Danio rerio: one gene and its partners. Each later gene encodes a partner of the first gene's protein in a complex. Links are inferred from orthologs where the notes say so. Each region holds a gene or a part of one and is shown in the gene's direction. Other genes may lie near its edges.

Region 1 (3,233 bases):
AACTAGTTTTTCCTCCATTTCGTGGGTCCAAATAAACCGAAAAAGAGCGCTTTTAACTTCTCCCCCAGCCTCCCGCTGGCCTGCTGCAGGTACACACACGCACACACAAGTGAATGCCGCTCTCTCATTGGCTGTAGGCGATCGCTGATGTTATTTTCAGTAAAAACTCAATTCACACGGAATGATTTGATTCGCAGACAGCTCCAGATATTCAGCACGCCAAATATCTCACAGGCATCGGCGACTCATCGGCGATTCTTTCAGATTGCGTCTTTGATAGTTCATACTGTGTGATTGTCACTCACAGCACCGATTTGCCTGTGATTTCAGGCATTTGTCTGCGATTTCTCAAAACCTGTCGGCGAGCCAAAATCGGGGCTGAAATCACACAGTCTGAACTAGGCATTACACTAGAGTATGTTTGTAATAAAAGTCTTATGACGCATAAGTTTTGTTATGATTACAAGTAGCATCCACACTACTCCAGCAACTTTGACCAATGGAAATGCAGTGTTTTGAAGGAAGAAAATTAGGTAGGTGATCATGTTGGAAGTTACCTAGATGGGGACTATTTTCAGGTGCTGCATAATGTCATTGTGTCTGCTGGAGCCAAAGTATGGCAGCTCTTTGATTATTACAACAGAATGAGAGTATAGTCCTTGGTTATAAAAGGCTAAAAAAAAATGATTTTTTTTTTTCTGTTAATCTTAGTCCATGATAGAACTACAGAAAAAAATCAAGGTTTGAATTGCAAAATTATCAAAACTCTTCAGTCAATTTTAAGTGAGATGCTTACGGTCTAATCCAATTCAATGATCTATGCTAAGCTACTCTAAAAGGGCTCCCAGCAGACCCAGAAATCAGCTAAATGGATTAAAAAATGGTAAAACTCTTTAAAACATCAATGACGTCAAATAGAGCCATGAAAAAAAAACTTTCTAAAGACTAGAAGCAATAAGGAAGTAGATCTGTTCAATTAAGAAAGTTTCACTTTTGATTTTGGCCTCCACCGACTATGAAAAACAATTATCAAAATAAAAAAAGATTATCATGTCATATTAGATTTATTCATGCTTTTTTCTTTAAATAATAGTTTGAAGCATACACTAAACTGACACCGCTAAGGGTGTCAAAATGATTTGGCCTATGCACTATGTCGCTGTAGAATAATATTGCAAATGGGGCGAGGGCGAGTTAATAAACCACTCCAACTACTTACAGGGTTCGTACGGGTTCTGGAAATCTTGGAAAATGCTTGATTTTTAATAGTGTTTTTTAATAGTGACTTTTAAAAGTGCTTGAATTTGAAATTGCAGGGCTCGAAATTTGTTTACCAGATTTAGGAGATTTAGGTTCACACAGAATGCATATTTGCACATAAAAACGCCAAACGCAGTGCTCAGGAATAGTTTAAAACAGTTGACATGTCAACTTGCAGCAGTAAACAAAGCCTGCAATGCCTGTAAAAATACTAAATATAAGATATAAGATATTTTGAATAAAGTAATATTGATGAAAGATGACAAATTATGGTTTCCAAACAGTTGACATAGGAACAGTTCATTAATTTGCAGCAAGAATATTATATTCTACATTAGGGATTTAAGTTGTTGTTACAGGAATTTTGAATAGCAATGCACATGAAGTTGGAAAAGGTGTAAGAACCCTGTACATATATCACGTGTTTTATTTCAGTCAGTTTATCAGTGACTGTTAAAATTACAGTTTAAGTTTTCATTTATTTGTTAATTTTTAATTTTATTAATTTTAGTTATCTTTTTTTTTTTGTTATATATTTTTAACAGTTTTAATCTTAGTTGCTCAATAAATGAGCTATCTATCCATCTATCTATCTATCTGTCTATCTGTCTATCTATCCATCCATTCATCCATCCATCCATCCATCCATCCATCCATCCATCCATCCATCCATCCATCCATCCATCCATCTATCTATCTATCTATCTATCTATCTATCTATCTATCTATCTACAGTTGAAGTCAGAATTATTCGCCCCCCTTTGATTTTTTTTTCTTTTTTTTTTATATTTCCCAAATGATGTTTAACAGAGCAAGGAAATTTTCACAGTATGTCTGATAATATTTTTTCTTCTGGAAAAAGTCTTATCTGTTTTATTTCGGCTAGAATAAAAGCAGTTTTTAATTTTATAAAAGCCATTTTAAGGACAAAATTATTAGCCCCTTTAAGCTATTTTTTTTCCCGACAGTCTACAGAACAAACCACTACACAATAACTTGCTTAGTTACCCTAACCTACCTAGTTAACCTTATTAACCTAGTTAAGCCTAAAAATGTCACTTTAAGCCGTCTTAAATACTTGAAGTCAAATATTATTTACTGTCACCATGGCAAAGATAAAATAAATCAGTTATTAGAGATGACTTATTAAAACTATGATGTTTCTATATGTGTTGATAAAATCTTCTCCCCGTTAAACAGAAATTGGGGAAACAATAAGCAGGGGGGTTAATAATTCAGAGGGGCTAATAATTCTGACTTCAAATCTATCAATCCATCTCTCCCTCCCTCCCCATCTGGAAGTACAATTTTTGACAAAATAAAATAGTTATATAGCACTTGGTGTGTGATTTGCACTCTAAATGCACTTTCATATGTTAATCTAATGCGTCCTTTTGTTGATGCAGATTGAAAACAAGGAGCTCCGGGGTCTGCTGTCCATCAGCTCTGTGAAGCAGCACAGAGAGGAGAAAAACCCACCGGAGACGACATCTGAGACTGTGGAGAAACAGGAGTCCTAATGGAGGATAATGTTACTTTAGACAGCAGTTTGTGCATTTGTGTGTCAGCTGACCTGGTGTCCACTGACACTAATATCTCTATTGGGTTTTCTAGTTTCCTTCAGAACTGTCCTGGCGGTGGTTTTAGCTCTCTTATGTCCGATCATGCACTTTTTCTGATGTTTAATATTAGAGTTATTAATATTTTAGTTCAGGAAAGACCCATGACCTCTTTGCTTTTAATAATAGACTCTTGAATCGTTAGGCAGATGTGTGTTATAGATCATTTCTTTCTCTGTTTATGTTTGAATTTTCCAAAGATGTAAGTGTTTTTAATTTTAAAATAAGCTTTTTTCGGTCTTAAATTGATTTGTAGCTTCACATTCACTAGGTTTAGAGGGATTGTGGATAGTTCAGCTGAAAATTTTATATTGATTTGATGTTTTGATAAATGTTGGAAGCCGATAACCATTG
Region 2 (4,330 bases), on another chromosome or scaffold:
TTGTTAGAGCCCTTTTTATAGAGCCAGATTGGTCTCAAAAATATTACATTTAAATAATATAATTCATATATTCACAACTCAAGTTACAGTTACAAAATCCAATTCATAAATTCTAAACGAGATTCATTAATAAACAAATCCAACTTGTAAATTGAAAACATGATTCATAAATACACAAATCCAATCCATAAATTAAAATCGCGATTTATAAATACACAAATCCAATTCGTCAATTCAAAACGCGACTCATAAATACACAAATCTAACTTGTCAATTCAAAACACGATTTATAAATACACAAATTCAATTCGTAAATTCTAAACGTAATTCATAAATACACAAATACATTCCGTCAACTCAAAATGCGATTCATAAATACACAAATACAATTCGTAAATTTAAAACGTGATTCATAAATACAAAAATCCAATTGGTAAATTTAAAATGTGATTCATAAATACACAAATTTAATTCGTAAGTTCAAAACGCGATTCATAAATACACAAATTTAATTTGTGAGTTCAAAACGCGATTCATAAATACACAAATCCAATTCGTCAATTCAAAACGCGATTCATACATACACAAATTCAATTCGTAAATTCAAAACGTGATTCATAAATACATAAATCCAATTCGTCAACTCAAAACGTGATTCATAAATACACAAATACAATTGGTAAATTCAAAACGTGGTTCATAAATACACAAATCTAATTAGTCAATTTAAAATATGATTCATAAATACACAAATCCAATTCGTAAATTCAAAACACGATTCATAAATACACAAATCCAATTCATAAACTGAAAATGCGATTCATTTACACAAATCAGATTCGTAAATACAAATCGCGATTCAAAAATACTCAATCCAATTCATAAGTTTACATGCAATTTATAATTACTCAAATTCAATTTGTAAATTTAAAATGTGATTCATAAATACACAAATCCAATTCGTAAATTGAAAACACTATACAAAAATACACAAATCTAATTAATTTGGTGAAAGTATTTATGATTTTTGCTTGTGAATTTACAAATTGTTGGTTGTATTTACAAGTTGTGTTTTGAATTTACAAACTGGATGTTGTAAATGTGAATTGTGCTGTGCATGGAGGAGTTTTATTATGTACATGTATTATTTTTGAGACTGATCTGACTGGCTCCATACTTTTTTTGTCTGTTCAACAAATTGTTTTACCTGTTGTTGTCTTGCTTGTTGATTGTAAATGAAATGCTATTACAAAAGAAAAAAATAGCATCCGAAAAATGAACAAACAAACATTATTTTCAATCCGCATGAAAAACGTCATCCTTTTTCTCTGGAAACGCGGATCCGCCTACATTTTCGCGTCACCGCAAAGCCCCGCCCCATATCTCGGTGGTGCGCGAGCCCCGCGGCGGTTTGTGGCCGGTGTGTATGTGTGTGTATATCTCTTCAAGAGGACGACTTACTTCCAATTATCCCGTCGCACACAACGATTTCCCTCCCGATTTCAGCGTTCCGAAAAGCGGAGACCTCCATGGCTTAACACGGGACCGTGTCATGGACTTTATTCGTGTATGACTTTCTTTTCTGGGGAAATTTTTGTGTCTCTCAGCAGGCTAAGCTAGTTACCGAGCTCGCGAGCTAATACTGGATTTACGCAAATTCTCCGCGCATGAAAGTTCCACAGACCGAACAAATAGCTGGTTTTCGGGGATAAATCAGCTCGGGGTTATTTATAAAGTCTCTTCCAGCTTGGACGGCTCGATAAGGTGAAAGTAGAAGGCCAGTGTTACCTCAGCGAAGCTAACAAGCTAATATGAAGTTAGCCAGCTAACGCTCTCGTGCGCAAGAAAACACCCTCCGCGCGAGCTGTGCTCTTGTATACAATCCTGACAGCTAAATACTTGCATTTGAAGTCTGTTTAAGTAGGCATTTGAGGTATTTTTCAATATTAATTACTCTGTCTTGGGGAGTGGTGGCTTGATGGTCTGCTCTGCATACTTCAGCCAAACCCACTCACATTATTATTAATCTTCATTACGGTTTAACATTTTCACAAGTGCATTTCGTGCCTAGCAGTCATTCCCTCTAAATATAGACACGCATGTCAACTTGACAGTAATACTTCTTTTTTTTTTTTAGGAGTAAAGGTTGACCAATTCAACAGGTTATTGGTGTACTAGTTGCTGGGTTGTTTACTGGCCAGGCCTATGCTTGTAAAGGGGGACGAGGATGAATTGTGTTGGGAACGAAGTATAACAGCTCGAATTGTGGACTGTCATCTGGACACCCAGATTTGTATGGAATTGGGCAGCTGTATTGGGTTTGGTTCGGCAACATGGGGGTCTCGCAAGGGGGCAAGAAGTCATCTACATAGTGTATAAATATACAGTCTTGTTGACGTTATGTAGTCGGTTTAGCAGGGGTCTTTTTGTAGAGTTGGAATTTTTTTCGTATTACTATGTGCGTTGGTCTGCTGGTCATTCATTAGGAAGAATTGGAGCAACAGGTCAGTCTGGATCAAGAAACCCTGTCTTTCGTCTCTGGTTGGAGTAACACTCCCAAGCCATCCTCAATGCCTTCAGCGCTGGCCGTGTTCTCCTGCCGCCCGAATTCACACCCGTTTCAGGAACGCCATGTTTACCTGGATGAGCCGGTCAAGATCGGGCGCTCCGTGGCCCGGTGTCGCCCTGCCCAAAACAACGCCACCTTCGACTGCAAAGTGTTGTCGAGGAATCACGCTCTGGTATGGTTCGACCACAAGACAGGCAAGGTAAGTCTGATGTTTCACCAATAGATTGGATGTTAACTATAAACATTATTCATTAGATGTACTTATTTTTTTTAAGGTAAGTGGTTGCAAAAATTAGCATGAGCTGAATTTAAACAAATAAACGTTACTACATTTAGTTTGTTTAAATTCAGTCTATATAAATTGTTTGCAACCACTTGCCTCAAAAAAGTTAGTAAGTCCAATGAATATTTTTTTCAGTGTTTGACATATCCACCTCCATCTTTCTTGAATTATTAAGATTTTCTTTGTATCTATCTGTCAATGTTGTCACAATTGTCTGTACTAGGATTATATAGATAATATCCCCACCCAAAAGTAGATTAAGATGGAATTTATGGCTAAATATACCACTGCATTAGATCAGTGTTTCTCAACCACGTTCCTGTAGGACCACCAACACTGCATATTTTGGATGTCTCCTTTATCTGTTACATTCATTACAGGTCTTTCAGTCTCTGCTGATGATCTAAATCAGGTGTGTTTGGTTAAGGAAACATGGGGTGTTTCTCAATAGGCGTTTTTCAGCGATCCTGCGTCCTCGTGTTCTTCTGTAATGTCGTCATTAACTGCCTATGTTCAGTTCCAAAACTCAAGACGGCAAGAACGGAGGACGCGTGAAAGTTGCCAGATGTGTTCTTGATATCGTAGAGTCATCGATGCAGACTTGAGCACAAAACTTGCTTGAGAAGTCCTAGAAGTCGTTGTGGCTGTATGAAGGAGGTGGGAAGCGCAGCATTTTATTTAGATTTATTATTAAAGTTTAGAGATGTAACTTATTTACTTCAGGAGTTTCCCTAAATGAGACGGTGAATTTAAACATTACCATGTAAATCATAATAATGGCATAAGCACATAAAGGGTGTTTACTTGTTGAAATTCGTGTTAAAATTAGTTTTATTTGTATTGTGAAGCATATATTTGTACGTTTTTTTTATGCATGGTATATATTATGTATGGGGGAAAACAATAAATCGTTGTTGTAGGAATGCTGTAATGTTTAAACCATATTCCATTAAAAACATGTGAAGGTCACGTCACCATCAGGAAGACCCAGGGAAGAACACAGCATCTCATTTCTCACAGGATGCGTTCTCTGTTCTCAGCGTTCTAGGAATTAAGAGACAGTCTAGGAACATGTGCAGAGCTGGTGGTCCTCCAGTAATGTGGTTGAGAAACACTGCATTAGATCACAGGTGTCAAACTCAGTTCCTTGAGGGCCGCAGCTCTGCACAGTTTAGTGCAACCCTAATTAAACACACCTGATGAAACTAATTGAATTCTTTAGGCTTGTTTGAAACACACAGGTAAGAGTGTTGAAGCAGGTTTGGAACTAGACTGCAGGTCAACGTCCCTCCAGGAACTGAAATTGACACCCCTGTGTTATATAGTAAATATATTAGCTTTTTCTTAAAACTAATCCAAAGATTCAATGAGCAAAAAAAAACACTATTTCAATGAGCTTTTAAAGGGATAGTTCACATAAAAAATGTAAATTCTGCCATGAAAGTCCACTTGCTCTAAAACTGAGTTTGTTTCTTCTT
Region 3 (4,306 bases), on another chromosome or scaffold:
GTAAACATTTTGGTAAACATTAAACCTTTGGAAAACATTTATGGCTTTCTTTATCTAATACAAAATGCAATAAGAAAATAAAAGCCCTGTTTCAAGAAGATTCTGTTACTGTGCCTTATGTAATGTCATATTGCAATGGTTTTGAAAATGATATTTCATGGAAGAGAGTTTGGTCATTACCCCACTTTTTAACAAACAAGATGAGAGAAGTTTCTGCTTTCCAGACAAGTGTAATCTTAAAAGACTTCAAAACCAACTCTTCATTTTGCTTAGTGAATCCTGAAATTTCTGTTCATTTATTTTGGAATTGCCCTCATTCACTGACATTTTGGTGTGATGTTCTTGATTTCATAAAAGACGTGAAGGAACATTTTACATATGAAAATGTTGTCTTTGGTTTCCATGAATGTAAAAAGGAAAATATTAATTATTTCTTAAACCTTTTTTTTTTTTGGCCAAATTTCAAGCTTTGAAAGTGTAAACTTTTTTTTTTTTTTGTAAATTTAAAAATGAAATGAAAATGAATTTTGAGTCTATTGAGGGATCAACAAACTTAAAAGCAATACGAACAAGGACTTGACATCTTGGACTAAATGACTAAAAACTCCTGGATTGTTGTTTGATTGATGACATTTGTTGTTAATGTTTTTCAATCATTAATATATATATATATATATATATATATATAACATACATATATATATATATATATATATATATATATATATATATATATATATATATATATATATATATATATATATATATATATATATATATATATATATACATATATACATTAACTGCTATAATTTTAAAAAAATGATTGCAATTAAAATTTGCTGTAATTGTATTTTACATTTAAACTTAAACCAATAGCACCTTTAAATTATAACAATAAACAACATTCTCGACGGATGCTATTGATTATTTCAAGCACTTCTCCTTTCACAAACCGTACTATACGTCTATAGATATTGTCAACGACACATTTTTATCGCCTCATCAAGTAAAAAAAATCATAGATACAAAGCGCATGCGCAGAGTCTGTACGTCGTCAGTCTGGATTCGGATGACTCGAGAGCGCGCAGGGCTGGGTGAACGCGTCCCATCATGCAGCGCGCGCGCCAGTCCTCCCTCACTCGCTCGCTCACCCCCGCAGTAGGAGACTCACATCCAGGGATCGGACTAATGGCGGCCGGCAAATCCGTGCGCTGACACGAAATCCACAACAGCCGCTCAGGTGCCAGCCTATTCGGTTGGGGGCAGGGCGACGTCGCATCGCTAAGCGAACGGTAAAAAAGGGAGGGTAGAGGGGTAACAATCGGCGACTTCTAGCAGGACTTTCCTATTTTTAAACATGGATGAACAGCCCGGAGGAGGAGGAGGTGGTGGTGGAGGAGGAGGAGGAGGAATGGCCGCCCAGAGGCAGCAGCAGCAGCCCGCACCGCAGCAGGGCAACAACAGCATTAATCCTCAGATGAACAGCGCAGGAGGAGCGCCTATGGTTCAGCAACAGCAAGACGAGATGCCCAGGCCCCAGCAGTACACCATCCCGGGGATTTTACACTACATCCAGCACGAATGGGCCCGTTTCGAGATGGAAAGGGCGCATTGGGAAGTGGAGAGGGCCGAGCTCCAGGTAACGTTGTAGACTTTTGGATTTTGCTGACACACTGATTGGAAACCCCAAATCGGGGCATCGACCGACAACTCGTCGGTTGCTTTAATTAAAAGCTTGAGGCTGAATTGCTAAGCATTTTACCATACATCTCGCAAGCTTCCTGTCCACCCTGTTTACACAAAATTTCAACACTAGCAGTTGTGTCAATAAACAAACCTTTCTTCATTTGAAACATGCGAGACATATGTATTTAGCATGCCTATATTGTAAAACAGCAATCTAGTAAGTCGAGTCGCTTACTCGTTCCTAGTGTGGATGTGCTAAGCTAAGCTAACATGACATCGCTGTATTGGCGATAATACGCGACACCCGCTACGATGGATTCAGATTATCTTACCCACGATCACAGAAGCAGATCTAATAGTTGTTTGTTGCGGATTTATTGTGTCACGGGACGCATCTGTCAATGAAAGCCAGCAGACTTTGTCAACTATTCTCTTGTTCTGCCATTTTGTTTTGGTCAATATGGCGTCCGTATGGGTCGCTTTTTTATTGATCCATCCTACTGGGGCTCACTTTCACACCCTGCTTCAATTTTAGTATGTTTTACACACTGCATCTTTTATAAGATTCAAAAGAACATTAAGGGCTTTCTGATCAGCAAAAACTAGTTATCATAAAAATGCTGGATGACAGCGACGGTCACTATTTACGTTCGTTAATGAAACATAACGTTGCATTTAAAGGGAATAGAGTTTGAGGCGAGTTGCGAACACTCTGACTGATATTTGTACTTGTGTTACACATATGACAAACAAACTGTGTTAAACCGGTTTGGAACAACACGAGGGTGTGTAAATGATGACACTGTTCATTTTAGGTTCACTCTCCTTTAAGATCGCTATGAGCAGATAGACTTACTAGTTTAGCTCCTGGTCAGATCAGTATTTTGGATGAATCATTGGCATTTGGATAAGTCTCTTGTCACTATCTTTTTTTGTCATTATTTACTCACCCCTATGTTAATCTCCACCTGTATGACAGACTTTGTATAACACAAAAACACAACACGTTTGACAGAATAACAAACCTTTTAACAGTTGACCTGCATTTGTATTTAGAAAATACCTTTATCAGTTAAATAGTTTGTTTCATGGAGGTGCAGCACACAACATTTAGACAATATTGTTGTTTTTGGCAGTCAAATAATTAACAGGTAACATTCAGTAACGTTTACTTGAGTAAATTATAACCATGGTTTTATTGTTGTAAAAGTGTCATCACCACGTTTTTGTTGCATTGATTACATTTGCATAACTAAAGTTTTACTTCAAAGACTATGGTTAAACTATGGCTTAACCACAGTTTCCATGGTTTTCAGTTTTGTTAGTAAAAAAAAAAGAAGTGTCCGCTTGTTCTTAAAGTATTTTATTTAAAGTTCTGTCATCCTTTGTTCATCTCCTTTTTTTAAACATATTAAGAGTTTCTTTATGTGGAGGCGCAAGCTATTTTGATAAATGTTTTTGTTTTTTTTGCCTATGAAGAATAATGTAAACCGAATGAGTGATGACTGATTTACCAACAAACATTGTCTGTCCTTTTTTCCCCCCATGACTTTTGTATTTTTTGCTCGCCTCTCACTTTGACAGATTTATTTTTGGGTGAAAGAGTGTGTTATGACAGCCAAATCTCCATTCTCCCCGTATTAATGGGTGTAGCTGTCATATGTTCAGCCTACTAGAGATGTGGACGGCAGTGTAGCTTTTGTGAATGAGGAAAGGAGCTGGCAGGACTTGGCATTATGTAAACACAGTCAGTCTTCATTTCAGAGGCTGAGGAGTCTCTTCACTACCCCTGTACAGACTTGTTTTGTGACATACTTTCAGAATGACTCCCACCTCAAAACTAATGTGCACTTTTCATTAGAGGAAGTCAGCCCTCCCACACTCATACCGATGCAGGTCCTAAAAAGAGGGTTGGTCTTGTTTATTTGCTTTGCATTCCATATTTCCGAGGTTCACTTGCCATCTAACCATTAGACGCATACCGTACATACCACAAACGAAATGCTGCAAGTTGAACCAAATCAAATCATGCTGCCAAATATGAGCGCTTTGATTCTCCAGCTTTGCATGCAGATGCTTAAGTCCATTACCAGGTGCTGCTTTTCAGTGCTGGAGACGTTGCTAATGTTATAATGGATAGTGGTTCTGTGCTACTCTGATAGTGTCTGGATCTAATTGATGTGAAACTCTTCCTGTCAGCTTGCTTGGCTAGTAGGCATAGCTCTTAGCAGAGATGTCCTGAGCAGTCACATCAGGAACGGGCCTGATTGCTGTTATCTGGGTTAGCTCAGGGTTTGTAGGTCATGCTAGCACCATCTTCATAGTCATAATGGCTCATTGCACATCTCTAACCAATCCTACATTTGAAACTTTTTTGAATGTCTGTAAATCCTCTTCTCTTTCAAATGGTGAGATACCCAATTTACAGGTCATACTACTGAATTCTACGTATGAATGACTTCCTAGGTCATCTGTGAAAGTATATAGATAGAAGTATTATTTGAGGGACTTTTATGTTGGAAAATCAAAACGATGCTACGTTTTCATACAGTCCCAAGAGTCCCAAACGTCATTGTTCTCTTCATGATAATGCCGAAAAGAGCTGTTTTCTACTGTA

What was found.
Region 2: the proteins of sike1 (region 1) and slmapa are in contact, whole or in part, in a crystal structure (PDB 6AKM), measured with the Homo sapiens proteins. The link is inferred for Danio rerio from reciprocal best matches to the Homo sapiens genes SIKE1 and SLMAP. Residues at the interface, in NP_079349.2 of Homo sapiens: Ile5, Ile8, Leu9, Ala12, Lys13, Leu16, Leu19, Arg20, His22, Asp23, Ala26, Glu27, Leu29, Val30, Ser33, Ala34, Leu36, His37, Val40, Met43, Arg44; in NP_001291349.1 of Homo sapiens: Leu168, Tyr171, Leu172, Glu174, Ala175, Arg178, Glu179, Met181, Leu182, Lys185, Thr188, Leu189, Leu192, Leu193, Ile195, Thr196, Ala199, Ser200, Thr202, Ser203.
Region 3: the proteins of sike1 (region 1) and strn3 are in contact, whole or in part, in a crystal structure (PDB 6AKL), measured with the Homo sapiens proteins. The link is inferred for Danio rerio from reciprocal best matches to the Homo sapiens genes SIKE1 and STRN3. Residues at the interface, in NP_079349.2 of Homo sapiens: Glu96, His97, Ala100, Leu103, Ile104, Ser106, Lys107; in NP_001077362.1 of Homo sapiens: Arg176, Leu179, Tyr182, Leu183, Val186, Tyr188.

Annotation. Positions count from the first base shown.
Region 1 is NC_133198.1:43,061,832-43,065,064, reverse strand, and holds part of sike1 (suppressor of IKBKE 1), read left to right. Parts: intron 1-2,666; coding exon 2,667-2,780; 3' UTR 2,781-3,233.
Region 2 is NC_133186.1:44,735,117-44,739,446, reverse strand, and holds the start of slmapa (sarcolemma associated protein a), read left to right. Parts: upstream 1-1,379; 5' UTR 1,380-2,570; coding exon 2,571-2,768; intron 2,769-4,330. UniProt on the Homo sapiens protein: Associates with the striatin-interacting phosphatase and kinase (STRIPAK) core complex, forming the extended (SIKE1:SLMAP)STRIPAK complex.
Region 3 is NC_133192.1:30,183,781-30,188,086, forward strand, and holds the start of strn3 (striatin-3), read left to right. Parts: upstream 1-1,414; coding exon 1,415-1,642; intron 1,643-2,021; exon of another isoform or gene 2,022-2,151; intron 2,152-4,306. UniProt on the Homo sapiens protein: Calmodulin-binding scaffolding protein which is the center of the striatin-interacting phosphatase and kinase (STRIPAK) complexes.